Linked DNA regions of Struthio camelus. The main gene of each other region encodes a partner of the protein of the gene in region 4 in a complex. Links are inferred from orthologs where the notes say so. Each region holds a gene or a part of one and is shown on either strand. Other genes may lie near its edges. The genes, in order: KAT7, JADE3, BRPF3 and MEAF6.

Region 1 (7,580 bases), on a different chromosome or scaffold from region 4:
CTTCATCATTACTATTGTCTGGATGGAATATATTTGTTCCTGTAGGGTTTGCTTCTGAAACATACCAAGGCCCGCTTGAGAGCTGGCCTCTGCAGCTGTAATCAGAAGTTAGGGTTCAAAAGTACCTAAGGTCAAGCTTAGTCCAGCTTCAGCAGCAAATCTACCAAATTTAGATTCAGTCTCTCAAAACGTCTACCATTTGCATATACACATTGCTATTTAGCTTGTTTGCATTTTAATCCAATCAAGAATCAAGTTCAAGCTTCTGAGCTACCAACAGTCAGAGTAATTTAGGTTCCAACCCCTGCTCAAAGCAGGGCCAACTTAGATCAGGTTGCTCGAGGCCCTGTCCAAAAGTAATCCAGCAGGCAGCGGCAAGGCCTCAGTTATTCTACAGCAAAAGGGCATCTGTGAGAGACAGGGACCCACATCAATAAAGGCCTTTAAGATGCATCAAACCAGGCCCAGGAATTCTTCAAGCTTTACATGCTCCAGCCAAGAGCTTCTGTGGTGCTGCTCCACTGCCCAGACCTACCACACCTAGAAAACAGACAGTTTAAAACATTAAACTGCAACTCAAAGCACACAGAAACCACCTCTACTCACCCTCAGAGGATGTGAAAGTAGGAAAAACAGCAGTCCTGGGTCCTCCCATATACATAGCAATGCTCTGGATATTTGTAGCACTCAATCATTAGGCTAGCCTTTCTTCAGTCTACTGGGTGGACTGATGATACCTAAAAAACAAGCAAGATTTGTTGGAGTATAGCATTTCACTTTTTTTTTATGGTAGATTTTCATTATAGCACATTTCTCCCACTTCACTTGAACACGCTTAAGCGGGTAAAGTAACCCTGTAGGAATGTATCGTAAGAAACAACACACAAAGCAACTAACAAAATGAACGCTAACTTTCCTGACGTGTTTATCACACAGTGATAATCCTGAAGTACTTTACTAGTATTTATTCTGCTTCATAACAATTCCTGTATAAGCCTACTTTATATTCTCATCAACATGAGCGATGGCTAAATCAAGACAGACAGATCACTCGGCGCTGCATCTCCAAAACAAGTGGGTACCAAGATCAAAGTTTTAAATGTAATTTCTACCAACTGGTGCCTCTCGGTTTATGGATTTTTTTTTTGGTGGAAATTCCCTTTTTGTTGTCTATATTTGCTAAGATGCAGCAAGAGTTTTTATTTTTTAAATTAAGGATAGCAAATGTACATAAGCCTAAGTTCCAATGAATTTTAATTGGATCCAACACCTAGAGAGCTTTATTGAGATTTAGGGGGACTGTCAGGGCCAAGAGATTTCAGGTAGCTACTCAGCTGGCATCTGTGGGAATTTACCAACAACATACCTTCAAGATTCTAGAGTTCAAAAATTCAAAGGAGGGGAAGAAAATCACTGTGTTCAACAATTTAAGTCATCAAGCAATTGCTGAACTTTCTTCTGATGTGACATCAGGAAATTCCTCATTCTAGGTCCTACCTGGAAAATTCTGACACAGTTGAGAGACTGCAAGTCTGTCTCAAGAACCTGATTATGGGAATTTACCTCCAGCCAAGATCCTTGTAGGCAGGAATTTTACTAATTTTGCACCCTGAGGAATCCACTTGGTCTGTTTCCAGGCTGACTCCTGACTTCACTGGCTTGCTCATGGTGAAGTGGTTTCAAGCACTGACATCTAGTGGTGAAGCCAACGAGGCAGGCACCTGTAAGCATGCGGCCTCTCAAATTTCACATCCATTTATGTTTTGCTGCAGAACAGATCTACAGTTTAGGCTCCAACAAATGCGAGTGATGAAACTTCTGCAATACCAATGACTGGGACATGGTCAAGGGCTGTACTTATCCTCCACATACAAATTCAGGAAGAGAAACAAATGTTTATTTTTGCCAGAAGCCTCCTAATTTGGGGTTGGATTTTGAACCGAAATGCAATAGCAATGACTTCTCTAGTAATCACCCGAGACTTTATATCCCTGTAGTTTAGTACTAGAGACAGCTGTAGAGCTTGCAAGAACCCTTCTGTATGTATATACCTGTCATAACATGATCTGATCCTTTGCTCTTCTTGAGAGTGAGACAGCTCAGCTAACACAGGCCATCTTCTCATTACCCACATCCATCTACACACACTAGGTACTGTTTTAGTTTTCCTTCCTTCCCCTTTGCTATGTCCATTCATCGTACAAACGGCACAGAGGATTTAAAGTTTGTATTGCCAGTTTAAATGCCAGGAGTTGACTAGAGAACATGGGGAACTGGCTTCTATTCAAGTATTGCTACCTCTAGGAAAGTTACTGAACACCACCCACTTCAATTTGCCTGCTTTGTTTTTCCCAATAACATCCTGTTGGTGGTGGTGGTGGTGATGGTGATGATGATAAATCCTGCTAATATGCAATAACATAAACATAATGAAGTTAATGTTTAAAATAAATTAACACTTAGAAGTTCTAATTAATACTTGGTGCATCTGATACAATTAAGAGCTATAGCTTTCATATGAGGTATAGTTTTAAAAGAGGAATCCTTCAGCTACCACTGATAGGCAAACACTGCAATGGGATATGGTAACGTGCAACTTTTTACATGGCCATTATATTCTTTGCTCCTTTTTATCCACACAAAGGTGCAAGGGAATTTAACACATTCGGACTCTGCAGCTATCTATGTTAAATGAGCTTTTAAGCTAACTATCAGTCTTTGTACCACAGGCAGATTCTACTTAATGCAAGAAGAGATAAAAGATGAAGGTGCAATTTATAAGTCCTTTTAAGTCTTTTTCGTTTCTCCTGACTGCCCCACAACATTTCCATTACAGTCCTTCATCGGTTTGAGAGAAACAGTCACTCTTTTGCAAGGCCTCAGCTTTGTCTCATGAAAATATGGTAGATGAGCAATTATGAAGTGTTCAGACTAACTCCTCCCCTTCCATTAAGGCGTAATACACTGCTCTTCTCTGCTCCCATTTCCACTGCCCTTTGGAGCTATAGCTTTAGCTCATTTTTTTCCTGCAGAATGTTTTCCCAAATTAATCATAAACTAAAAGTTTCAAGGCACTCTAGTAACTTGAAAATATAATGCTCATTAGCCTAGTATAAGACACTGTCTCAACTGCAATTTGAAGTTCCATTGAATCCCAGGTAAATGGGAAATCTTATCCAGATCTTAAATGCTATTTTTCTTGTAAGGCATGAAAATTTTGCAATCTTATTCCAGCTCCTCCCCCTAAAGCAAGAATCCTTCCTTCACATCCTGGGCTAAGAACGCTGTCCTCCAATGTAGCCATGCTGATGTGCATGGAGTTCTTTGTAAATTGGGAACAGGGTTTCCATTATGTGAGGAGGAAGAGGGGATTGAGGAAACAGAAAGAGGAGAAAAGCTGCTAGTTTTGTTAACAAGTCTTTTTCCCCTTTAAAACCAGAGTCATAATTATGCTATAGCAGGCAGGTGTAGCCTGGGAAAAAGCAGAAAGCCAAAAAGTGGGTTTTTTTTCCTGCAATCATCTCATGAATAGATTAGCAATTGGGCCATTAAAATAACCAGACTTACTCATGAACTGTTCCCCCATCCACAGTTTTCCTGCGCTTCATGTGTGCAATTATGACATGCATGGTGATTTGCAACCAGTACGTGCAGCCCCACTTAACATACCACACTGCTGCTTCCCATCCCTCTCTGCCAGGGCAAAAAGCAGAGGTATTCCACTTCGAGCTCTTCAGTAAGTTCGCCTTTCAGCATTACACAGGAGACCAATACACCTAGGAGCAACAGCAGTTTGGAATGAAAGAAAGACTATTACTTGCATGACTAAGAATGACATGCACTCGCAAAAATTATAAGATTAGACCTTAAGAATGTCCTAATCCTTAGAAATAACCACAACTGCAAAGAAATCATGCGTTTGACTAAACACCCTTATTTCCCCCCCAAGTCCTTTAAATAAAGCAGCACTTTGTCACTCTCTGGCAGTGTTACGGCCTCAGCGTTACCGAGAGGCTATGTCTAACCAGGTGTTGGCCTAACCACAACTAAGGAAACAGCAGCACTCGGCCAGGCCGGCCTGCAGGCCCGGCAAGGGGCCTTGCTGCAAGGCCGCTCGGGCCCCCCCCCAGGCCAGCGAGGAGGCAGGGCCCAGGAAAGGCCTCTCCCTCCAGCAGGCCCCACGCCGGGCAGCAGCGGCACCCCCCCGGCAGGAAGGTCTCCGCACACCCCGCCTCCGCCGCGAGAGCGATGGGGACTCACCGCCTTCCTCCACCCAGTCACTCCATGCACCCGACGGCGCCTCTCTGCCAGGCCTCAACATGGCCACGGCGGGAGGGCTCGGCTTGCCCGTATCCAACATGGCTTCCTCGGGAAAACACCCGCGCCGGTCTCCGGGCGCCGCGGGGAAGCCAGCTGGCTTCACACCCGGACCCAAGATGGCCGCCGCCTCACCCCTGTGCAGATTCCGCCGCCCGGACCCAAGATGGCCGCCGGCAGCTTCACTGTCGGCGGAACCGCCAGGATACCTGTCCGAATCCAAGATGGCAGCCCCCGCTGGCGTGAGGCTGGCTCCGGGTCACGTGACGGGGGGTGTGGACCGTGTCCCGGCGGAAGCGTGAGGGACCGAGCAGGGAACAGGGACCGCTGGCGGCGGAGGGAGCGGGCTGGCGCCGCCGGAGCAGACGTGCCGGAGAAGAGGAGACACGGCTGTCACCACGGAGCCCGCCGGCGCTAACACGGCGGCGGCTGCCGCTTCGCGGGCCGGGGGCGCTGGGGACCAACCCGCCTCGCTGCCCCCGCCCCCGCCGAGGATGCCGCGCAGGAAGGTGAGCGAGGCCGGGGGAGCGCGGAGGCTGCCGGCGGGAGGGCGGCAAGCTCGGGCTACGGCCTCCCGCCTTCTCTGTCCCCCTGAGCTGCCTCTCGCGGGGGCAAAATCTGGGGGAAAATAGCGGCCTTCACCCCCCAGCGCCCGCCCCGCTTGCTCCCTGAGTGGCTCCCGCAGGGGCCTGCTGGGCGCTGATTGGCCGCCATTGCTCATCACTCATCGCCCCCAACGGTTGCCGTTTCCCCTCCCCCCCGCCTGCAGTGCGTCCTGCCCCTCGGCTTTTCCGATTGGGCGGCTATTTGGAGAGCTGGCCGCGGATTGGCTTTACTTGCCCGCCGGGCTGGCCTCTGATTGGTCGCCGCAGCTGCCCATCTACGCCCCCAACGGTCACCTCCCCGCGCGTGCCTTGTTTCTCCCTCTTTCCCTTCCCCCATCCCACTCCCGCCCCCTCCCCCGCGGGGTGGATGTTTCTGTAGGAGCGAGGCTCCCCCGGATAGGCTGGCGGCCGCCGTCAGTCACGCAGTGGTGGCCACGCCCCTTCGCTCTGCCAGGTGCCATTGGCGGGCTCCCGCATTCGGCCCCTCCCACGCGGCTTGTGATTGGCCGGGGCCGGCGCGTCTCGGCTGGGCGCAAAACAAAGCGGCGCGGGGCTGCGCTCGCGCCACGGGGCGCGCGGGGCGGCCTCGCTCCCTCCCCTGAGGCGGCGGCGGCGGCTCTGAGGTAACCTCAGAGGAGATTTTTCTCCAGGGTAGAACACCTGGCGCTTATTTATTCCAGTATGTCATTGTGAGCTTGGAATTACCTGTCAGGAATCAAATATCCTCTCTGTATAGCCTAAGCACGGTATGCAGGTTGAGGTGCTGTCGTGCTAATGCCCGGCTCTGTGGTGTTGCAGAGGAATGCCGGCAGCAGCTCAGATGGAACAGAAGACTCTGATTTCTCCACTGATCCTGAACATACAGACAGCTCCGAAAGCGATGGCACGTCGCGGCGATCTGCCCGTGTGACCCGTTCCTCAGCCAGACTTAGTCAGAGCTCTCAAGGTGAATGCTTTATTTTCCTAAACGCCTAAGTGGCAGGAGGCTGGATGTACTCTGTCTTCCTGACCTTTAGAACGTGTTGAGTTTACACCTAAATAAAATTATTTTATTTTTTGTTGGTGGGTATTGCGGTACCAAGGAAAAGAACAATCTCATGTAAGCGCACTTTGCGCAAATGAGATGATATAATCTAAAGACTAAATTGGTGGTGAAACTCAAGAATCTAATATCTTCTGCTTAAAAAGTAAAGTTGCCTGCCTATTGAATGAAAGGGGAATTAAAAGCCTTGATTCTGCTGCCAGCTTTGACTAATTTTTCTGAGACCTCTAAAATTTTACTTTCCGTCTAGTTATTTACTTAGGTACCAGAGTAGTCACATGGTGTCAATACAGAGAGGGTGTTCAGGAGTGAAAGTTGGTTTTGTTTGCTTTGTTTGTTTGTTTTGGGTTTTCTCTGCCGCAAGGGAAGGTAAACTTTCATGACTTTTTGAGGCTATTCTGCAGTAAAAGTAATCAACATATTGGCAGTTATTTTGTATACATCTACTTTGGCTTCAGATTGTAAGAGGATATGTTGAGTCTTTCTACCTGGTCGTTTTTAGTTTTAGTTTAGCTGTTTCACTGGTAGTTAATAACAGGAAATGAAATGCCATCTGGCATCCAGAGGAGGAAATGACAGTGGATATTAAGTTCTTTACCTTGTTCTGTTTATACTCTTTGACAAAGAACCTGTTTTGTGACAAATTTCCTTGCAGGTAAGAAGTATGCGTGCATAATCATCTGATGGTTATGTCTTGAAAAACAAAAGGAAATGTGATTTGCATCAGTGCATGGGATGCCTGTGATTTTCCTAGGGAGCAAAAGTATCACTTTCCTGTAAGATGGTCAGTTTTGTAGCCTTTTAAGCCGGATAGGATGCCCAAACCACACAGAGGGTTCCGAATATAGTTCCATACCAGAAGCAGCCTTGATTTTCCCAAGGGTTGCCTAAAACTAAGAGTTCTTATTTAAACTAATGATTCTTTAGCTTTTCCGATGGGAGCTGTTTTGTAATTACTAGTTACGTAAATAAGTCCAGAGAAAGTTGATCTAGTCCCAGATTGCTCGGTATTGGTTATAGTGTCAAAGATTTAACCTCAGAAGAATAGAGCAGATCCTTGTGATAACATGCAATGGTGAGATGTGGGAGGACAGAACTGTTTGTTGATATCCAGCTATCGCATGTTGATATCGGAGACTTCAGAGCACGCTTGAGTTAAGTTACTTACAGTGGTTGTTGTATGTGTGATTATGGTGTCTCTGTTGAATTAGATTCCAGCCCAGTTCGTAATCCACCATCGTTTGGAGCAGAAGAGCCTGTCTATTCTACAAGGAGAGTAACTCGCAGCCAACAGCAGCCCGCTCCTGTGACTCCAAAGAAATACCCGCTCCGGCAAACCCGATCGTCTGGGTCAGAAACTGAGCAAGTGGTTGACTTTTCGGATAGAGGTATGTGGGGTGCAGTGAGGCTTTGGGATTTTGCAAAATGCAGTGGGAAAGAGCGTATGACTTATTCTCTGAGGGCACAATACAGTACCCTGAGGATACTCAGGAGTTGCTTTACTTATTTTTCTGAGAGCTTTCTTCCATGTAAATTTGTAACATCTTGATCCTTATTCAGACACTAAAAATGCAGCTGATCATGATGAGTCTCCACCTCGCACCCCTACTGGGAAT
Region 2 (7,330 bases), on a different chromosome or scaffold from region 4:
ACATAAGCTACCTTAGCAGACCATGGGGAACATCTTAGGGATATCAATTCCGAACTCAGACTTGAGGCAGCTCGTACAGGGTTTAACTTTGGTTCTCACCACAACGTCTTACAAATCCAGCAGGTTTCACAGCGGCCCTGGACACCTGCTTTCACACCAACCAAGCATTCAAGTCACTACTCAACAAAGCCCACATGCTAGCTGTGGCAAGCTCTTTGGGATAAATGCTCTACAGCAGTCAGCACGTGGTAGCTAGTACACTAACGAGATACTTCTCTGCCTGCGTGTAGGTACATATGTAAAGCTGTACAGGTAAAAACAATACTCAAAAATAGCCAAATAGCCTTTGTGTAGTCTATGAAAACTATGCATATTTTAAAAAATAAAACCAAAAAAAAAAAAAAACAGTCTCTAGTATCCCAACAAAACCAAGATGAAAAACTTCCTGGTTTTCTGTCACTGAAAAGAAGTTCACAGACCCACAGAAAAGAAAAGCTGGAATTATCCTAATATTTCACTGAGATACTGTAACCCAGACTTTTATATTCACAAAGGACTTTCACGATTTTAATGAGATCCCAAATGAACATGCATCCTTGCCAGGAGATACCACTGCATATGCTCTAGCCTCAGCTCTTTAGCAAATCCTTGTGGGTATCTGCTACGTTTATACATCAAAAATAAAATTAGAAAAAACAAAACCAGCTGTGCCAACTGACCCAACTCAGGGGATTTTTTTCTGATGGCGGGGGAGGAAGGGGATGCACGGCAGGCGCACCTGTTCTGTAACAGGAACCTAGAAAGGAGTAAACAGCAAATGAAGGACAGGTAAATAGAAGCAGCTGTAATTATTTTGATGACTTTTACTGTATACAAAGCCTGACCTTCTCAGAAGGGAGCTTTTTTTCTGCTCCTCTTTGGCATTAAAAACAGAGCATGTCATGTCTAGTCTGGAAGGAGGTCAGAAGTTCACGTAAAAAATACTTCAGATCTAAGCACTAACTGGCTGTAATTTGAAAAAGCACTTTCTTAACTGAAGAGGCTTTAAAAATCGCATTTGCTCCCTCCAATACACACAGCAATGTTTTTCTGCTGTCCTGTTAAGAGACTTCGTGGCACACTTGAAAGTTATGCCAACGTACATGCAGGCCTCCCTTGCTAAAGCCATCTGCATCTTGCATTTTCAGGTTAACTCCGCGATTGCTCAGATATGCTCTCACTTTGTATAGATTAGCAGGTGTACTTGAAGTGCTCTATGGAATAGCCCACAACAAACAGCAAGGTGATGTAAGAAGTTGGTGGCAGACAAAACATCTCACACGCACCAAGACAAAATATAGTTCCCTAATCTTTCAGTTTTAGTGTAATGACTCTCTTATGTTAACAGAGGTACAACAGCTTTCAAGTTTCTAGCCTATTTTAATCACAGGGTTTCCAATCAAAACTGTATGCTGTCTCCTGCATCCCATTCTCCTGAACGCAAAAAAAAAAAAAAGGCTTTAAAATACAGCGCTAATTTAGCAGAATTTCTTTACTACATTTCAAGAATATAGTCACTTAAGAAAACAATTTGTCAACAACAGTTCAACTTTTCAAATAATTAAAAATGCTTTTCATGAAATAACGGCAGTTTAAAAGGGGGGGGGGGGGGGAAAGGCGTTTATTCTTCCCATTGAGATGCATTTTAAAACATACCCAACGACTTGATGCTCTCCCATCGCTCACCAAAGAATTATTTCTAAGTGCTAATCTCGCTACACTCCCAGCCGCTAATCGTACTGGCTGTTGCGCATACACAAAACGAAACCACCCTTTTACAGAAAGTCCTTTACATTAAAGCAAATGCCATCTGAGGGAGGATCCTGAAAGGTTTCATTTATAGAAACAAAAGCAAGAGCGCGGACCTTCCGCTCTCTAACCCTAAAAACCAAGCGCAGCGTTTGGGCGCTAGCCATGCCCCACCGCGCGAGGATTAAAAAAAAAAAAATGTAATCAAATAAAAAAAAATAAAAATCCAACTTACCTTCACCACAGCGTACTGAGCATCAGGCTATTAAGACAAAAACATCGCGCTAGCATCTTGTTGCCAAACTCAATTCTAGCAAGTTCCTCGAGGTACTGGTTTAAAAAAAAAAAAAAAAAAAGGGGTGATGGGATTTTTTCATTTATTTTTTTAATTGCGGGGTGGGGGGGGGAAGCGGAAAAACGCATCCGTGCCTGCTGGCAGCGATGCGCGGCGAAGGCCGGTCACGGCCGCGTTAGCGCCGGCCCCCGCCGCAGACGGGCGCACGACGGAGCCCCAGAGCGGCGGCGGCGGCTCCGCGCGGGACGCGGCCGCTCCTCGCCCCCCTCCCCTCCCCGCCCCGACACGCTCCTTCGAGGCGAAGCAGACTCCTGCGGACGCCAACGAGCCTTCACATCGCCTCGCTGCTGCAGACAAAAGGGCATTTCACCACGGGCTGCCTCCCGCCCGCCCCGGCCCGTGGGGCGACACCCCCCCCCCCACCAACTCCGCCGCAACTTTTCCCTCCGGCCGCGGCAGCGCCGCCCGCCCTCCCCCTCCTCCTCCCCCTCCCCACGGCCGCCCCCACATACCCGGGCCTCACACCCGCGACGCCGGCCGGCTGCAGCCGCAGCACCCGCCGACCGCCGCCTCCTCCCCCCCCCCCACGCTGCTACTTCCTCCTCCTCCTCCTCCTCCTCGGCCTTGGCGCCAAACGCCGCCGCCCGCGTCCCGCCCGCCGCAGGCCCGGCGCCTCCCCGCGCACAGGCCCCGGCTCGGCTCGGCGGCCCGGCCCGGCCCGACCCGGCGCGGCCCTGCGCCCGCCCCCCGCCCCGCCTCCATGCGGGCAGCCCGGGCCCGCGCTCACCTCTCGCCGGCCGGGCCCGCTCGGCCGCGCCGCGGCCTCCCCTGCTCGCCGGCGTGGGCGGCCGCAGCCGTCAGGGCTGGCGCTCCCGCCGCCGCGGCAGCAGCAACAGCAGCAGCGGCGGCGGCGGCGGCTGCTGCCCCGCACCGGCGCGCATCGCCTCCGCCCGCCCGCCCGCGGCGGCGGCCCCCGCCCTGCGTGTGCCGGCTCCTCGGCGCGCCCCGCCGCCGCCGCCACCGCTCCCGCAGCCAGGCCCCGGCCCCCACTCCTCCTCCTCCTCCGGCGGCGGCGGCGCCCGCACAAGAGCCCTATTGTAGCATTGACACCGCTGCGCTCCAGGCTCCGCCTCTTCCCCTTCCCTCCCTGCCCGCGCCGGGCCCTTCCTGCCAGCTGCGCCCACAGGGGCTGCCAGGCCCGGCCCGGGCCGCCGCCGCCCGGCCCCTCCTCCTCCTCCACCCTGAGGGGCGGCGGGGGGCACCCGGCGGCTCTGCCCGCTGCTCGCAGGGGTCTACAGCGGGTGAGGGGCTGATGCGGCGCCCGAGGGGCGGATGAAAGGTCAACGGCCTTGGCCCCGCGCCTCTCAAACTACCGGGTGCGCGGCCACCCGAGCGGGCCCGGCTGGCTACGCGGGGACTCGGGCGGCACGCGGCGCCATGCGCCCGCCGCCTTCCGGCAGCTTCTCTGGCGCCCGCCCGCGCCCCGTCGGAGGCGGCGTTAGGGACGTTTTAACTCAAGTTGCGCACGGCTGAACAACGTTACCACCGTAAAGCCTGCCTTCGAGCAGCTTTTGGCAGCGGCTGATAGATTTTAGCCGTTTGACCCGTAACGGAGTTCCCCATTGAGACGACAATTGGTAGAAAGCGCAGACAGCAGCGTTGGGCATAAAGGAAACAACAGCAAAAAACGAAAAAAAAAAAAGGCAAACCTCCCCTGATACTAGACTCCACACGCATTTCCCCTACTAGCACTAAGTATCAGTGGTGTCAAATACATTGTAAACTCCTCGTGACCGCTGTAAAAAAAGGTCTCCCGTCCCACACGCAGTAACACCGAGGCACGGAAAGGCTCACTTCACACTAAGCCACACGGAAACTTTCTTAGAGAGGGAAATCACATCTGGTCTCTCAACCAGATACAGCCCAGAGCCAAGTTTCTTCTTTCTAGGCCAGGCACTGAGAAGGAAAGGTAAGGCTATGGTAAGGACAATGAAGAAGGAACAAAGAGATGAGCAATGATAGTTTGGCATGCCTGAGCTGCACTTTCACAGTGTTGGCAGGCAACGGCCAAAAGAAGAGGTGACATAGGTCGTAACCAAGGAGCACCATTTCAGGCCAAACGGTCCATCCAGCCTGCTAAACCTCTCTCTAGCTCTACTGAGTCCTGGGCCTCCTCATCAACTTCCTCCTGGCCCAAACGGGCATCCACAGAAAGATACTTCCCCCATATACTCTGCAAGCCTCCAACTACTTTTAGCTGAGGAGATTTCCCAAGCGCGATGTGGTTTGTCTGTTTAGTAACTCTCAATAGATCACTTCTCCAGTACTTGCCCAAGTAAGCTTTGACTGAACCTGCGTTAGCTGAATGTAAAACCTTCTGATTGTAAAACACTGCTGGCAAGGAGTCCTGTGCATCTAGTACCTGCTGCATAAAAAAAACCCCACTCTTTCTTTGGTTAATATTCCTTTATGTAATACTAAAAGGTAGCTTTCTACAAACACAGACAGCAACGCAACAGTGACACGGACATGTATGGTTTTCTGCATGCACCAGTGATCACCTCATTTGCCTTCTGTTCATTAATATATACTTGCCAGGAAAACACTCTGTGCCTCTGAGCAGCTTCAGAAAGCCGCAACGTCAAGTAAAGATGTCAAGAACACTCCTTCTGCCCCCAGACACGCTTGTGGAATCTTCTATATCAAATTGGATGGTCTAGACAGTAGGGCAGGCAATGCTAACTCTTAGACAAGAGGTTTAAAGTCCAGAACGCAGAAAATTCAAAATGAAATAAAACCAAGTCTGTGCAGTATAGACAAGCTGTTTTCTAGTCATAAAAGGAATTTTAAATCTGATTGAGTTACCCTTAACACAAACGATGTGGAAGTATATTTTAATATATTAATTTATATTTTTAAATGATTTTTTGTTTCTGTGTCCACAAAACCTGCACAGTGGAGTATATAGTGTTTATCAGTCATTCTGAAGAACAACGAAGAATGCATATTCCCATCAGTAAAATAAGCATTCCTATGAGAAGTTTTCTTTCAGATTATTTCATATATGAATGACTTTATCAGGACCAGATGCAGCCCAACCCAGGAAAAGGTGTTGTGCAGCTGTCTTCATTTCACATGCCTGGGATCACACCTCCCTCCCCTTCACTGGCTGTCACGTATCAAGGGATAGAGGGGACGACATTACAACCTGCACTTCTACCATAAATCCGCATCTGTACATGCTAAGGGCTGAAAGATATGCGACACGGAAAAAATGGTGGCACAGAGTCAGTAGGGCTACTAATTTCAATAAACGCTTTTATATGCAAATAAATTTTTCATTATCTGATCCCATGTTAATTCTAGCAAACTATTTATGATTTGATAAGAATTTACACAGAATTACATTTACATTCTTTATGTGTGTTCTATAAGAAAACGTAGCAAGATGAAAAATAAGATGCAGACTATATATTGTTCTTCTCTTTAAAAGACACATGCAACACAGTTTCCACATTTTCTTATGAAAGGATGAACTACAGATGCTCCTATGCACCTAGAGAATAGGCGGTATTTGCAAAGCCAGATGTTAACATGCTGATAAAATATAGCACAAACACAAAGTCCTCCCAAGGGAGGAATGCTCTGGAAACTAGAAATACAAGAGAAATAAATGGTCACAACGAAATAATGCATACATGTATACTATAAGCAGGTTGAACTAAGTCATTATTCAGCTGTACAAAAGCTAGGGGCTGCACATAGTCTATTAAAATATTAAGGAAGTTACACTGAAGTAATGTTTAACATCTGAGAGGTAGGGTCACTCAGAGTTTAACCCAAAGTGGAGCTGCAAAAAAAGCATCTATAATTGAAATAGCTAGAAGCATTTTCAGTGAATTTCAACAGAAAACTATTTTTTCTACCAAATCTGCTACCTCTGGTCAGATGCCAGGGATGTAAAACAGGCAACAAACAAGTTGTAGAATCATGGAGGGGTACACTGGGGGGAAGGAAGAACTGGAAAGGTTTGGTGGTGGTGGTGGGGGGGGAGATCCAATTCATACCTCTCCGTCCAAGTCTTTGCAGCATTCCCAGCCAGCATGTGGAAGCCTCCAAGGGCCGCAATTCTGCTCATCTCTGGTAAGAAAAGAAATACACAGATACCAAAGCCTGGCATACCTTTTTTCTTTGAAACCTGTAAAGGCTGCATAAAAGTTGGATCGCTGGTAGATCACAGGCCATTGATGAAGCCTCGATACAACATCCCCCAAATCAGGCCAAGCATTGACAGCCACTGGCAAGAGACAGAAAAGCATAACTCCCTTATTTTCCTTTCACAATGAACAAAATCATTGAAGTGCTATAGTAAAGCACAAACGCCCACCTGCAAACAAAAGAGCTAATTATTGCTGTGGAGTAACTTTCATTCTTCTGGGGGGGGCGGGAAGTAGAACCTCATCTAAGGCTCACTAGCTGTCTCAAAACCCTCCTGTGATGAAAAGTATTTCTTTCTAAAATGCACTATTACAAATAGAAGCAAAGACCACTCAGATTTTCAAAAGATTATCTTTACTTCCAACACTGAACCCAATCCTTTAGCACCTGTTGGGGTAGCTATCAGAAGAGGCCCTCAGGTCATAGCACAGCCCCTCCACTTAAGCTGCAGAACCTTTACCAAAAAAAAAAAAATTTTTTTAAAGCAGGGACTTCAGAAATCAGGGGAAAGGTCTCCTCTCTTAAGAAGGTCAGCACATTCAGAAAGGGGAGGGGAAAAAAAAAAAGGCACCTTCTACAATAATGAAGCATTTACTCTCTTCAGAGCAAAATGAGTGTGCCAGCTTCACTTTCCAGGATCTGACAAGTTCAAAGTTTTACGCTTAGGCAGAACTTTTATTTATCTTTCTCCTTCTAAGATAGTAACAGAGAATGGAGAGAACTGCCAGCAGCTTTTAACAGGTCTCAGTGTTACGGGCCTATATCTTTACTTAAACACACACAAGTAAGTGCCTAACACAAAAGAAACAAAGAATACCTCTTATGCTTGTATTAGTGAGGAAACAAATTGTATCTCTTACCTAAAAAAAATTGGAAAGTTAGCTGCCTCTATGTTGCCTTATATACAGACTCAGGGAAACTCTCTATGGCAGTTAGCATCCATGTTAAAAAACAAAAAACAAAAAAAAAATCAAGACTGACGCTCCCTGGAGTGTTCAGATATCACAAGTTAGCTGCTTCTCCACACAC
Region 3 (7,668 bases), on a different chromosome or scaffold from region 4:
GAAACAGGATGGTTGTGATTCTAAACAAAGTTATTTTCAGCGTTGCTGTAAAGGAATTGCTTACAGCTCTGTGGCGTGATGGTCTAGCAAACATTCTGTCACGTATGTAACAGGGAGTGGCTCTGTTGTCTGTAGAGGTTGGGTCATACCCACGTTCATTTTCAGTATCGTGGGAGAGGTCATCCCCTGTCAGCTGCAGGGTGTTTTTGTAGAATATGGTGAGTCGTGTTGGCCTGGGAGCGTACCTAGGCCTCCAGGTTATAGAAGAGCTCAATTTAAAAACTCAGAGTTTAAACTTAAGTTTCAAGATAGGAAGTGACATTCCAAGTAGCGCACAACACGGATCCCTTTCCTCAGGGTCTTCACACGACAACTGGTTTTGCAGCCTGCTTGCAATTTACAGTGGAATTAAGGCAAACCTGTTAGTTCTTTGAACCATCCTGTGGGTGGCTCTGGTATAGTAAGAACTTTATTATTATCTGATTGGATCTGTTTCATTTCCTCATAGAAGTAGATTCTCACTTGCCTGTAGGATTTCTCTTTTCTTTCCTGCCCTTCCTTCTCCCTTTTCCTTTGGTGACCTGCAGATTTTAGACTTCGGCTTGGCGAGACATGCGGATGCTGAAATGACAGGCTATGTGGTTACACGCTGGTACAGAGCACCAGAAGTCATTCTGAACTGGATGCATTACAACCAGACAGGTGAGTTGCATTGCTTCAGCTGTGTGACTGTCTGGTGGCAAGCTGAAAGATCCCCCTGTCATGCCTGGGTCAAATCTCATGTAATCTTCCAGATGTTTTTGTTCTTTATCATCAATGTCTCTCCTAGAGCAGAACTGGGCTGACGCAGCCCCAGCTGGACTACTCCCAAAGTTAGTGCTTGTGGGAAAAGATGAAGGCAGGGATTGTAGTAGCATAGAAAGAACAGCGGAGGGTGGAAAATGAGAGTGAAATTGAAATCAGTGCCTTCTGCAGACTGAAAAGGCAGGAGACAGCCCCCAGCAATCATTTCTTTCTTCAAGCTTGTGTCATTCTTTTTTTCCTGTTTCTCCCTGAACAGTGGATATCTGGTCTATTGGCTGTATCATGGCAGAAATGCTGACCGGGAAAACGCTGTTTAAAGGAAAAGATTGTATCCTTTCAAACTGAACCTGTTTCCTGGGGGGGCGGTGAATTCTTGGCACATGTGAAAGTGCTTTTATGAATATGAAGCTACTGAGAGAAAGGGTATAGGTCTGGTGTACCAAGAGGTAGTCACAGGGGACTAGTGGGGTCTTCTTAGTGAGGGAAATAGTGGAAGGGCCAAGCCACCCCTAGAAATAGATCTCTGTGCTGGCTACATGCACCTTACATCAAGTAGCTAACCTTGCATAGCCACAGCTTCATCCCCAAACCCTTGCATGGGGAGATCCCGAAACCTATGGGCATATTCCCCAGCAGAGTTGTGCCAGCAAAATTCTCTGCTGATGAAGGTGTGCCAGCAAAGGAGTCCTTTTGTGGACAGATTGCGTCTCAGGAAGAGAAGCTGTCTTTGAGTTCTTTTTGCCAGTATAGTGAGTTTCTGCTTGTGTATCTCTATGGGGTTCCTATCATAACACGCTCATAGCTCTCAGAGGTCCTCAGGCCTTCCTGCACAAAGAATTGAGCTACGGGGTGGGGTCTGGGGCTTGCTCCTAGATGGATAATCTTTAATGCAGCATGCCAGACCTAGATCAGCTGACTCAGATCCTGAAAGTAACGGGGTATCCAGGAGAAGATTTCGTGGAGAAGCTGGAAGACAAAGCGGTAAGAAAGCTCACTGTGGCTATTATTCAGGGCCTTGCTGCCAGAGGCATGGTGGAGAGGGATTGACTTTACAGCTTCTTTGAGATGGGAGGGATGTTGCTTTTAAATCAGTCATTGGAACAGGAGAGAGAGAGAATCTTTCCCTCCTGCTGAGGAAGACGTTTCTCTTTATTAGCGGCACATCTGATGTATTTGTCCTTAATGTTTAATGTATTGCCTTGAGAACGGGGGTGATTGTAGGGACTGGAAGTTAAGATGCCTAGGTAAGATGCTTCATGGCTCAGCAAAGCATCTCCCTCCTTTGTTCTTCAATCTGGCCATTTTCTAGATGGGAGTATTTCTGTATCTCAAAGAACTGATAAAAATAGTTCCTCACAAGCTGGTCACTGAAGTGTGACATCTAGGATAATTTGCTGTTCTTTTCTTTCTCCATTGCTCATCTAGGCCTAAACCAAAAGCTCTATTATATACCCCCCCTTGCACTTGTCCAGTTGCAGTAAATGTGTGTGCTGTGCTTTCCTATTTCTTTTAGGCTAAAAGTTATATCAAGTCCCTTCCAAAAATTCCCAAGAAGGATCTGTCTGTGCTGTTCCCCAAAGCCAATCCTCAGGGTAAGCCATCTTCAGTATTTCTCACACATTTTTACTGCTGGAAATAATGTAGGCTGAATGCCCCAGCTGCAGTTTTGTTTCTCTTTCTCATTACTTCATGCTACTTCCTTCCTTGCGGATTATACTCCTGCAGAGGGCTAGCCCTTCCCAGGGCAAATGTGTGTAAGCTAAAAGCAAAATAATTCTTTATCTTGTAGGAGATACAACAGCGCTACAGCAGCAATGTTCTGCTATTCTTGGCCATTTCCTTTATTATTTTTAAATGACATGGCAGTATTTTAGGAAAAGGTAAACTTTTGATGCGTGCATCAACCAGCCAGAAGAGAGCACGTGATGTATAACAGGATGTCTAGGTTGCAGGGTGCAAATTATGGGACTAGGAAAGTTGCATGTAATCTTAAAACACTTTCAGCTCTGTTTCGTATGAGTTAGGATGAATTTTGACTAAGACTGGTTTCCAAGCTTGTTGTTTGTAGCCAAGCAGGTGATATTGCCATTAGTAGCATTCAAATGAACAAACCAGCTCTTCTTTTTCATTATTATTTCCCAGCCCCGAATCCAAGGCATCATAAGTTTTTGTAAAGAGCCAAAAATTTCCATAGTCCATTCAAGTATTCTTTTTTTTGTCTTGTGGGAAGAGTACAGCTTAGCTCATAACTGTGTGTTAAACACCTGTACCTTTTGATATTTAACAGGCAACTGAAGTGTGCGATTTTCAGGGGAAAAATTGATCTCCTACAAGTAACTCTTTCCCTAGATAGCTTATAGAGGTGGGTGAGAAAAACTCTTCTAAAAGCTGAGAGGAAGAAAGCATTAAGCTGTTAAAACCAAGGGGGAAAAGGGCTGACAGACTGGTTAGTATCTGAGTTTCCTGCCTTCCTGTTTACCAGGGAGGTATAGATTTCTTTATAGATTACTCATGTTAAGACTGCTTTGAGTAACAGGGGTCAGAGTGAAAGCAAATTATTGAAATTGAAAATATCTATCTTGAAGTTACTGGCTTGCTGTTTATGTTCTTGCAGCTCCATCCATGCAGCAAGGCCTATTCAAGATTAAGCTGTTTTTTCTGCCTGTTTTACCACTTTAGTCAGAACTAGACTTCTGTTAGCTAAGAGCTACTCGAGGGTGCTGTTTGGTGGATTTTGCATCCGGACTGATGGGGAGCTCCACGCTCCTTTGGCCCGATTGAGGAGTCTGTTTCATTTTCAGGTCTGGAAACAGTAGTACTAGAATCACTGGGGCTATCGCTTTCGGGATTCATGCGCAGGATAGCTGTTCTCCATTTAACCTGCTTAGCAATGTTCCTGTCTCCTCCTACAGCAGTGGATCTGCTTGACAAGATGTTGCAGTTAGATGTGGAGAAGCGTCTTACAGCCACGGAGGCTTTGGCCCACCCCTATTTTGATCAGTTTCGAGATGTTGAGGAGGAGACAGAAGCACAGCAGTCCTATGATGATTCTCTAGAACATGAAAAACTTTCAATAGATGAGTGGAGAAGTAAGAAGTTTGTCTTCTTTGAAGTTCCCATCGTCCTGTCCCTGTCTAGCATGGGCTTTCCTGACCCTTTTTCTGTTTCCTGTGCACGTGCTGAGTAAGGCTGACTTCACTACTATTGCTTGTTAATGCCTCAGCGATAAACAGTGTGCGTCTCCCTTTCCTTACTCTTGTCTTTATGCATTCAGCTAAGATCCCTTCTGCCTGTCTCTCTCCAGACACTTTTTTTGCCTCTGTTTTGTCTCTCTTCCTCCCAGCTTACGCTTGTCACATCCTTTCAGCTGAATAATGATCAAAGTTTCATTTTTTCCTCTAAAATCGAACAGCAGTAATATGCTAGTGATATTCACGATTATTTTGTTCTATTTTTCAAGAGCATATTTACAAGGAGATCTTGTCCTTCAGTCCAATTGCACGGAAGGACTCAAAGAAGCGAAGTGGAATGTCATTATAGCAACTGAAGCAGCTGTGACTGGGATTCGTTTCTTGTGCTGGATTATAGATGGGATTTACACTACACTGCCTTGCTCTTAACCATCACTTGGCCTGTGGGACTTCCGTGTATGTGAGCACGGGGATGACACCATGCTGTGGGCGTTGGACTTTGTTCTAAAAAGGGGGATGCAACCCAAATAGTTTTCCATACTAAAGATAAATATACTCTTATTGAAACTCCAAATGGGAGAATTTTACCTGGTGTTTCTTTGTTTACATATTCATCCACTTGAGAGATCAGAGATGTCATTGTTTCTTTCCTATTGCTCTTTCCAGGAACAAGCTTTTGTATGTTAATTATGGATAAGGTGAAGAAAAAGGTAAAATCGGGAAGTGAGGGCCAAGCAAAATAATCCGAAATAGTGAAATTAAGCATAACGAGACTATCCAACCTAGCTTAGATGCCATCCCCTTTCTCTTAGCAGACAAACTGCATCCAGCACAGTGAGGTTGCTGTGGTGACTTAGGCTCCCAGGATACCGTCAGAATTTAATCTTTCTTGGAATTGGTCTACACTCGGAGAGGCTCTAAACTTCTGACTTGGCCACTTGCTGTAGACAAAACTCCCTACTAAGGTGCCTCCACTTTTGGACAGCCGTTAGCTCTTCTTTTTTGCTCTGTTTCTCCCATCTCTGGATTTTGATCAGTGCCTTCTCCTCCTTATTGCTAGCAAACATAACCTGGGAGTTCACGTCCACTTTTGTACATTTATAGACCTGTAATCCCAAGGAGCTGGGTTATAATGCAGACAGTCCTGCCCGCCCTTACCAGGGCCTCTTTTTTTATCATCAGCCTGGTTTCTCCTACGGTTCTTTCTCAGTTGTGCTTATCTCTCACTGAGCATCCTCGGCCTGGAATTACCCCTGCCTGCCTGCTACAGGCTGCCTTTATCACTCAGCAGGTGTGGTATTTTGTCATGCAGCCCAGTGATGTGACCCCTTATATTCTCATTCCCTCCACTTTGAGGGATTCTCTGCTTCTGTTGTCTTAAAGGGCTGTTCATTCCTCAATATGAAGGGCCATTTAAACTGAGTATTTGGAAATATGTCAATAGTCAAATGTCAGTCTTAGGGCTATGCTCCCCAAGTAAGTAATAAAAAAAATTCATATATTGGAGAAAAAAGCATAAAAGTTGTTTATAGAGAGATGAAAAACAATTACAAGAAAAAAGTACGTAAATGGGATCTGAGAGTAACTGCAATGTTATTACAACTGTGTATGTAGGTTCTTACCTTGGTGATTTAGATCTCAGATAAGCATCTAAACACTTGTACTTCATCAACTAAGTGTAGCTTATCCCCAAACGAGATGCCTTAAGAAAGCAAATATGGGAGAGCAAGTTTTTGAAACTAACTTGGAGTCACTTGACTTCTCAAAGTCTGATACCTTTGTTATTTAAGTCCCTTGCTTGCTGTGACAGCCCTCTTTCTAATATGACTGGATGATCTTGTAGACACTAATTCTCATTAGTCCTTTCAAAATACATCCCATATGTGCTTGCATGGCTTATTCTAAAGCAACGTAACTGCTCTGTCTTGACCACAGGTATCTGAGGTGATGTCATGATCCTGTCTCATTTGTGAAACTAGGACATTTGATAGAATTTTTTGAGAATTTTTCCCTTCTCTCCTCTACGCTTTGAAGTTCTTATTGTTAATATATTAAGTAGTTAATTGCTAGAGCTTCCTAAATACAGTAGGGTCTTTAGGGCTATTTATGGCCTCTCTGCAGTGCTACGGAATAGATTTTTCTCTGACAATCCTTTATTTATTCCTGCTTGAAATATGAATGAATAAGCTTCACCCTCACGAAAAAAATCTTTAAATATGTATTAGGACTCCCCCCAACATGTCACATATTCCTTTAAACACCACTTTGGTTAATAATCACAGTCCTGGAAACGCTAATTATTAAACCAAAGTTTACAGATGTACGTTACCAAAAAAACCCATCATTATCTGCTAGCTATATTCTGAGCAGGTTGCAAGTGCGTAGCCATTTGTAAGGAGTGGTTGTCTAATAAGGCCTCTACCTGCAGCAATGGGAATTGTTAGTTTTCTTGAATGGACTGTAATGAACCTCTGGATAGGTTACACGTTCCTACATATTAATGTTATTGCAGAGGAAGGCCCAAATAATAATAGAGCAGTGATTCATTTGGTTTTAATGTCTCTTATGCTCTGAAAGCGTCTGCATAGGAGCACAGAATTATGCCATCAGTCCCTTTTACAGAGGTGTTCTTGAAGACATCAAGCGTAAGGCTCACTGGCAGTGGCATATGGAGGTCTGTCAGATTACAGTCTGTACATGACTATAGATCTGTTTTAGACCTACAGTTTGTCTCTACCATTGCAGATGCTATCATTAGAGCTGCTTGGTTACCAACATGCTGTACACAGTGGCTCTGGTGCTGCCCAGCGCTTAAGATCTCTTGCCAGTATATTCTGCCTGCAGTTGACAGCAAAAACTACACATAACTACTCTGAATTACTACCATCGCTTTCTAAGCCCTGTCCTTTGCATTGATGACTAGGCGCAGATCTACTGTGCAATCTAGAAATATGATTGCAGCTCATGCAAGCATATCGGAACTAGCTTTAAGCTAGCCAGCTTGGCGTTAATAGCGCAATCTGTAAAGTAGCAAGGAGCTCAGCACAGGCTAGCTTGAATATTTACGCAGGATCCTCAGAAAGTTTTGCAGCCTGTGCTGAATCTGGTATTTCTGCAGATCCGCTGCTTATTGATAGAGTGACTAGATAGTTCAAAGCTAAGCAAGTATGTTTATGTTAGCTGTGATAACACCTTTGGATTGCAGCATAAATATCTTCTTAGCTGGCATCTGCCGTATTGCGATCAGGCTGATGCAGTCAGCGATTCCAAAGTCCACCCCAAGGTGCATGTGCCAAGAGACAACTGTTGTCTCCATGCAAGATGTCAGGGCACACAGTCTCCATGGCTATGTAAAAGCATTTGTTGAGAAAGTATATGAGAGCTCGATTATATATGCAATATTTCTCAACTCTTCACCTCTTCGGTAGCAGCCTCAAAAGCTGCTGAGTCATTTTGGTTTGGTTTAGGCAGGATGTATTTTTTCAGTACTCGTCTCTGTAGTTTTTCTTCTTGGTCTGTGATTTCCAGTTCTACTGGAAATCTACCTCAAATAAGGGAAAATTGCAACATTAATGGAATTTTCTGAGCTCTGGTCTTCCCTGTGAATTGGACAAGGTGACGTTGTATTTCCTGGCTGTCTTTGTTGCAATTTATGCTATGTACTTCTCAGAAT
Region 4 (7,113 bases):
AAATTCTTGAGCAAGCTCTTACTGTGGGGTGCTGAGGCATGGTAAGAAGCAGGGTATGTTAGCCCAGAGAGAATACCACTGTAAAACAGATTATTTCTGATGCCCAAGCCATCAGCCTGCTAGGCTGTACCACGCCGTACAGGCATACCTTAAGGTTTGTGACAAACAAAGCAACTCTCATAAGCTAAAGGGAAAGAGACTCAGTTAGGGACAACAAACAGAAAGGGTTTGGAGTGAAAATCTCAGTGAAAATGTGGGGCTGTCCATAATGCCCCAAACATTCCGATTTGCTTTTTCACCTCCTTCCCCGAAAAGCGTAGTGATATTCCTCTCTTACTGAGTTGTGCAGAAACCAACAAGCTACAGGAAGCTACAACTATTATCTTCCTCTATAGAAAGGGAAAACAGTTTTATTCTCCTTGATAGGTAGGAGAATTGAAAAGGCCCAGTCACAAGTGCAGCTGTATCGGAGCTGGAATTAGTAGCCTATGCAGACAGCTTGTTTTAGCTACTTTAGCATGCCTTCCCCTCCTTGATTGCGATGGGAGCAATGGGATCCTGATGAATACTACAGGATGCATGCAACTTAATAACAAAAGAAATTACCACAACAAAGAGGTGCCCTGAGCTGCTCGTTACTTTAGCAAATTACTAGCTCCTTTCCGTAGTAAGGTCAATTCAACAACTAGCCACTCACAAGGCATGACAAGAAGGCTGCTGGTACCACTAACCTGTGTCGATTTTTGTTCTTCCTTTTTTTGTGGCTGCTGTGGTGGCTCCCAGAGGAAGTAGAGGAAGCAGCTTTCTGGGGTTTCACCCCCTGCACAGATCCATCCAGCTCTTCAGCATCCTCCTGGTTAGGCTCATTCTCTTGATTGTGGAAGTCTGGAGAAGTGTCACTTTCTGTCCCACTGCCTGGCTCCCCTAGAGCATGACAAACACAGAGGAGCACAATGGTTACTTCCCCGCAGCGCACATCCCAGGCCTGGAGAGTCCCTGAACCCACAGGGAGCCCTGAGCAAACGGAGCAACCCCCAACAAAGGTGCATAGGGCACCAAGGGCATGCTGAGCCATACAACACCAAGCTACCTCCTTAGCGACTGAGGCACACTAGAATTGCATCTGATTTGATATCAACTACAAACATGTCTTTTAGAAACCTGAGCATAAGTGGCTAATAACCTCAAAGCACTAGGGAAAAAACTATGAGAACTAAAGTTTTAAGTTCTAAGCACTGGAAACCCAGCACTGCTATCTGACCAGCACATAATGGTTTCAGAGTTGCACTCAGAGCAAGACTGACTCAGGAGAGAGCTAAACAGAGCTCGCAACAGATTGTAGAATATCTGAACGTGGAGCACTCAACTTTGCCCATAATCACTTACAACTTACTGAAAGATATACAAACAAAAAATGCATTCCTTTAGCTCCTCCAGACTCTTTCTCCAAAGAGCACCAAGTGTATTTAAATAAACTTTATACACAATGAATCCTTGAAACATATACTAAAGATAAAAGCTTACTCAAGAAAGGCAGCTCAGCTTTACTTGTAATGTTTCTCATACGGCCACTTTCTTGACTTTTATAGTTAGAGAATGTGTTGGGAGTACTCTGAAGCTCGCCTAAGAGGACCAGATGTTGGTCCCCAAAAGGGGAGTGCTCTAATGGAATGGCAAGTTCACAGTGGATCCAGAAGAAGTTTAATTCTTTCCAAGTTAGTTGTGTTCAGAGAGAAATGAAGAAGTGACTTACGCTTCTCAATGAGCTGGTCTTGAACTCCAGCTAACGCACTGACCGCCTAGAAAATCAAAAGGGACTTAATGAAAGCAGCAATTCACTTGTTTTCAAACCAAAAAAGGGGAAGTCACCTCACAGAGAAGACAGACCACACCTTTGCTTCAAAGAACTTACAACCTAGCACCAACACGGTGCAACAGAAATGAGAGTTAGGAGCAAAAAGAAAGAGACAAAGCGGACAGCAGTGACAGAAGTGTAAGGTAGAGGGGTTTCTTGACTGTGGTTACCTTTCACCTCTCCAGGCACTAGGAAAAAGTTTTCTGAAAAAGACTGCAACACAGAAGTTAAGATGCTGGGGAAGGGAAGAGATAAAAACACGCACAGCAGCTTAAATAGGAAACCTGCATGGTAGCAGCTGCTGCATCCCCCATGATACCCTCTACAGTACAGAGATCATCCCGATATTAAGTGGAGGGACGGGACCGGCCGCACTGGGCTTTGCTCCTGGTCGAACCACCACCAAGCTGAGCAAACGCCAGGCAGCTTGGGGCAGCAAGGCCGGGCGGTTCCTGCCTGGGGGCTGGCGAGACGGGGGGCTCCTTCGGGGCAGCAAGGCCGGGCGGCGGAGACCCTCTCGGGGCAGCACAGCCAGGCGGTTCCCCCCGGGCCGCGGCGGCCACCGAGCCCAGGCCGCTCCCACCCAGGGGCCTCAGCGGTAGCGGTGGCGGCGGCGGGCAGGAAGGGGCCCGCGATGCGGCGCGGCACTCACCGCCGCCGAGGTGACCGAGGACTTGCTGAAGAGCCGCTCGGCCTCCTTGAACTTGCGGTTCCTCCGGTCGTTTTTGCTGTTGGAGTTTCTGCAAGAGAGAGCGCGGCAGTGGCATGGCAGGGGCCCGGCGGGCAGGGCGGGCGGGCGGGCCGGCCGGGCCCACACTCACTTCTGGTTGGTGAGGTAGCGGTCCCAGCCGCGGATGATGTTCCCGTACATCTGCGTGTCCTCCAGGTAGCTGCCCTCGAAGGCGTAGATCTGCCGCTCCAGGTTGGCCAGCGTCTCCTGCCGGGCACAAGCACAAGCGGTGAGCGGGCCCGGCCCCGCCGCCCCCCCCCGCCGCCGCCGCCGCCGCCGCCGCCCCGGCCGCCCCGCTCACCGCCAGCTCCTGCTTGCGCTTCACCAGCTCGGCCAGCTCGCGGCGGGTGTCGGGGATCTGCGGGGGGCCGCCGGCCTTGGCGTGAAGCGCGGCCATGGCGGCGGCGGCCTGCGCAGGGCGGGCGGGCGGCGGCGGCGGCTGCGCTGCCGCACCGGGCCGCCGGGGGCAGCGCTGAGGCCCGGCCCGCGGCGCCGACGCCGACACCGACTCGGACACCGGCGCCGCCCGCGCGGCCCGGCCCGCACCGGCCCGGAACGGAAGGGAGCGGAACGGCGCCCCCGCGCCCGCGCGGCCCGGCCCGGTCCGGCCGGAACACCGCCCCCCGCCCCGGAACGGAACGGCCCGGAACGCCGCGCCCGCGCGGCGCGGAGCGACCCGGAAGGGAACGGGGCCGGACGGGCCCGGCCCACAGCGCCGCCCGCGGAGCCCCACGGCCCGGCCCGGCCCGTTCCCCCCGGACTCCTCAGGGTAAAACCCCGCGAAACGGGAGTTGGCGCCGTTTGACGCCACCCAAGCCCGGGCCGCAACGGGGAACCGCGGACCAGAGGGCAGCTGCCGCCAGCGAGCTCCCGCAGACGAAGGTGTGGCTCCATCCAGTGAAAACTAGCCCTGTAGCACCTGAACGAGCACTTCAACGACAGCAGCCGCGGACCGGCGTGAAGCAGAACGCCGGGCGGCACCGGCAACCACGGACCAACGCCCCGGTTAGAGCGCGGCCAGCTCGCAGCTCGCCGCAGGGCCGAGGAAGCGGGGAAGCGACTCCCAGATCCTCCTGCTTGGTCTACGACGAGGCCCCGGCTTGGTGTCCGCACGTCAGCCCTGCGTCCCTCAGTAGCCTTTGAGTATCTCGGGACCTAACAGCAGGACACGTTACACTGACAGTGAGGCAATAAACCGTAACACCCTTAGTTCGTGTTGCATCGTTTTTGGAAGCAGGTTACTGTGGTCTTCATCAGCACTCGGCGCTGGGGTACTGCACGTCCTTGAATTCCACCAGAAGCAGCCTGTTTTCCCTAGCATCAGGCAAATAATAAAAACAGTACAGCAAAATCAAGATCATAATTGTGCTATTGTACAGAATAGGTTTGAAATGATTAATTCACAAAATAGGTACAGCAGATTGTAGTAGTCACTTCCATTTTTCCAGCCCACGGACTGAACAGGAAACAGCTTGAAAGTAGCTAAGACCATTTCCTAAGAGGGTCACAGTTCAGCAACACAGCTAGGAGGAGTATACAAACTGAACAAATCTGAAAGTCTCATTCGGGTAAGACAGTGTTTTGTCACCCCTTTACATCACGGCTATACGTACTTCACCTCTGTGCCTCCCCTTTGTGAAAAAATAACCCATTGAGAACAGGTCATTTTAACACTTACTGAAATTGCTCCGCACGCTTCAAACGCTTTTTTTGTCTAATTTGATCAACCCTTTTTTTAAAGCTAGGCTCAAGCCTCTTAGTTACATTAGTCTAAATTGTATGACTTATATGCTCTGAAATAAACGGGACGCTATGCACTAGTTTGCCCCTTTTGCGATACTGATCAGATTTGGCTTAAACCACACACATATTTCATACTTCTGAGGTGAACATGTCTGCATGCAAGAGCATGTGACCTGAGCACTGCACTAAGCCACCAAGGGGAGACTCAGGTTCACAGAGGTCTGAATAAAGCAGCATGGTGCAAGCCTGCTCCACCTGCCCCTCCAAACTCACAGCATCTGCAGCACACAGACCACACAACCTTTTTTTTTTTTTTTTTATTTCTTTGGTGTCCTTAAAAACCAAATACAAGTACTTTGATAACATGCACTATAGTACAAGAGACACACAAGCACCAGAAGCTGTGATGCCTTCTGGGGCTGCAGGAAAAAGTGAGAGGTGTTGCCTAGTTTGTGGGGTGAAGGGGTACTCGGGACTGGATTACACACGGTGCATCAGTCTGAATTTAAAAGCAAACACATGCACCACAATTTCCAAGTGTACAGACAAAGAATCTGCCACTGAGGCAGTTACAGTAATGTCATTTGTAAGGTAACAGATGTCATTATGTCTGCTTAGTCCTGCTTTTACTAAAGGGTAATACTTCAGTAACAAGTTCAATGAATTACTGTAGATAGAAGAATTCTTGTGAAATCTATTTCAACTGCTGAACCTTTTTGCTGACCATAAGAACTGCAATAATTTATACCTTCAATACCAGCATCTCTCCCTCATCTTTGTGAGTTTCTCCGAAAAAATATAGTGCATCTATGTCAGATAATATAGAGGGAGAAAGGGACACTAGAAAAATATTACAACTAAAATTAATTAGGGCTAAATTTACAAATTCTTTATTTAAAAACCCCTAGAGTATATATAAAGGAGATCCTCCTAGTCAAAACACATTCTTCTACCAGCTGTTTGAAAACCCTACATTAATGTCCCATATTTACACCATAAACGTTTCAGCCTGTGTATACAATATGTAACATATGTATACACAAAGTATATACACAGCATGTATGAATAGCATGTGTGACCACAGAACAAACATCTAGGCAAAGTTAGTAAACAAAGTGAAAAATGTTACATTTCTTTTATCATAAAACCAAGCACAGGAAGGAGATATCCAAAAATATGCAAAATGTAAGTATTTTCATTAAGTAGAATTTTCTTCCCCCTCCTAAAGCAACTTTTCTTTTATGGGAAAAAACAAGAATACTTCAAACAAATGACAGTATAATTTTATATAAAGAAAACTTAAATAGTGCAAACTGTTGAAAACATGTAATCACATAACAGGTATCTACATGTAATAGAAACAAGGAGAAGTTATTTACGGGGCTGTGGTGTTATCAAAAAAAAAAAAAAAAAAAAAAAAAAAAGAAGAAGGACCCAGCTTTAGAACCAGATACCCAACATCCAATAAAAATTTCAGTATCTAGTTTCAACATATACTGGGCATATACTGACTTAGACCTCAAGCCCCATAACCTAAAGTCCCAGGAAGCATTTCCTTTCATTTACAACTATACTACCTGTAGATTACAAGGTATTCTGGTAAAATGCCCATCCCTGAAAAGTTATTACAATGCAAACTTAACTACCCAAAACATACAAATACAAGAGGGGCTTTGCAACATTTCTGCCTCTTTAGTAATGAAACTTGGTAAATTCTCCTGTCTAGATTTCTTAACAGGCATACAAATTCGGCAAATCCTACCAAATAAGACAAAATATATCAGCTAGTTTCTACCTTATTTTTCAGTTAAGTAGCATTTTCAAAGGATTATGACAAAACAGTTCATAAAAATAATTTTAAATATGCCCACTGTGTTTTACATCATTTACTAGAAGGGGATAGCCTTCCAACATCTGTTGAATATTTCCAGCACCACAGCTTTCACATCCAGGTGCTCTTTTTTCTTTGTCAGGGGAAATTAGCTTAGAAAAAGCTGAATTTCCTGATAAGCAGAACTATCCAAGATGATTAAGTCCCCAAAATAAGCTACAAGAACAGACCAGCAACAGAAGAAGGACTTTAAGGCAATAAGAGGCATCAGTGCTTCGATGCGCCAATGTTTACATCCCAATGCACGTTCTACTGCAAAGATTTTTTTTCACCCCCCCAATTTCCTCCTGATCTGTTAACTGTCAGACTCTTCCTCCTTCTCGTCCTCCTCCTCATCATCGTCCTTTGTGTTTGCCTCAGATTTATCTGAAGATTCATGGAGAAGAACATATTCCCTGCTACTGAACCCAAATTTCAACACATCCTTTTCTTTCAGTTCATAGTAACGTTGAGGTTCAATCCGCTGGTTATTTAGAAAAGTACCATTGCCAGAACCAAGGTCAATTATATAAGGCCTTACTCTGCGGCCAACTGTACCATCAGCACGGGTGTACTCCACAAGCCTGGCAAAACAAAAAGCACTATTTCAATCATAACAAGACAGACACAAAATTCCCATTTATGCAGCCACTCTAGAAGTAGATGGAGTTTTCAAAACGTTCTGTATTTTCAAAAATTTAAGCAAGCATAATGAGTGTAAGGAGGCACTCGGGATGAGATTCTGAAAGACTGCATCACCTTCTAAAACTTATGGTGATATAATACAGTAATTTGTAACACCGAACAGATGGCTGTTCCTTGAGAGCAGCTCTGTCTTCAGCAGCATACAATCCTTGCTGCTTCAAAAGGATAGCAGCAATCTTGGTTGCAAAATATTTTTACCGCTAATTACAC

The links.
Region 1: MEAF6 (region 4) and KAT7 share a complex: the UniProt entries of both Homo sapiens proteins name them as parts of the HBO1 complex. The link is inferred for Struthio camelus from reciprocal best matches to the Homo sapiens genes MEAF6 and KAT7.
Region 2: MEAF6 (region 4) and JADE3 share a complex: the UniProt entries of both Homo sapiens proteins name them as parts of the HBO1 complex. The link is inferred for Struthio camelus from reciprocal best matches to the Homo sapiens genes MEAF6 and JADE3.
Region 3: MEAF6 (region 4) and BRPF3 share a complex: the UniProt entries of both Homo sapiens proteins name them as parts of the MOZ/MORF complex. The link is inferred for Struthio camelus from reciprocal best matches to the Homo sapiens genes MEAF6 and BRPF3.

The regions. Positions count from the first base shown.
Region 1 is NC_090966.1:4,989,139-4,996,718, reverse strand, and holds the start of KAT7 (histone acetyltransferase KAT7), read left to right. Parts: upstream 1-4,580; 5' UTR 4,581-4,811; coding exon 4,812-4,826; intron 4,827-5,720; coding exon 5,721-5,868; intron 5,869-7,175; coding exon 7,176-7,352; intron 7,353-7,524; coding exon 7,525-7,580. UniProt on the Homo sapiens protein: Catalytic subunit of histone acetyltransferase HBO1 complexes, which specifically mediate acetylation of histone H3 at 'Lys-14' (H3K14ac), thereby regulating various processes, such as gene transcription, protein ubiquitination, immune regulation, stem cell pluripotent and self-renewal maintenance and embryonic development.
Region 2 is NC_090942.1:148,568,485-148,575,814, forward strand, and holds the start of JADE3 (protein Jade-3), read right to left. Parts: upstream 3,011-7,330; 5' UTR 2,871-3,010; intron 2,726-2,870; exon of another isoform or gene 2,596-2,725; intron 2,119-2,595; 5' UTR 2,024-2,118; intron 797-2,023; 5' UTR 720-796; intron 1-719. UniProt on the Homo sapiens protein: Scaffold subunit of some HBO1 complexes, which have a histone H4 acetyltransferase activity.
Region 3 is NC_090965.1:4,942,605-4,950,272, reverse strand, and holds the start of BRPF3 (bromodomain and PHD finger-containing protein 3), read left to right. Parts: upstream 1-4,665; 5' UTR 4,666-7,668. Other genes in the region: MAPK13 (mitogen-activated protein kinase 13), read left to right, coding at 588-702, 1,061-1,132, 1,706-1,785, 2,318-2,396, 3,717-3,893, 4,265-4,344. UniProt on the Homo sapiens protein: Scaffold subunit of various histone acetyltransferase (HAT) complexes, such as the MOZ/MORF and HBO1 complexes, which have a histone H3 acetyltransferase activity.
Region 4 is NC_090964.1:10,828,217-10,835,329, forward strand, and holds the start of MEAF6 (chromatin modification-related protein MEAF6), read right to left. Parts: upstream 3,013-7,113; 5' UTR 2,983-3,012; coding exon 2,887-2,982; intron 2,793-2,886; coding exon 2,677-2,792; intron 2,596-2,676; coding exon 2,508-2,595; intron 1,800-2,507; coding exon 1,754-1,799; intron 925-1,753; coding exon 732-924; intron 1-731. Other genes in the region: SNIP1 (smad nuclear-interacting protein 1), read right to left, coding at 6,515-6,782.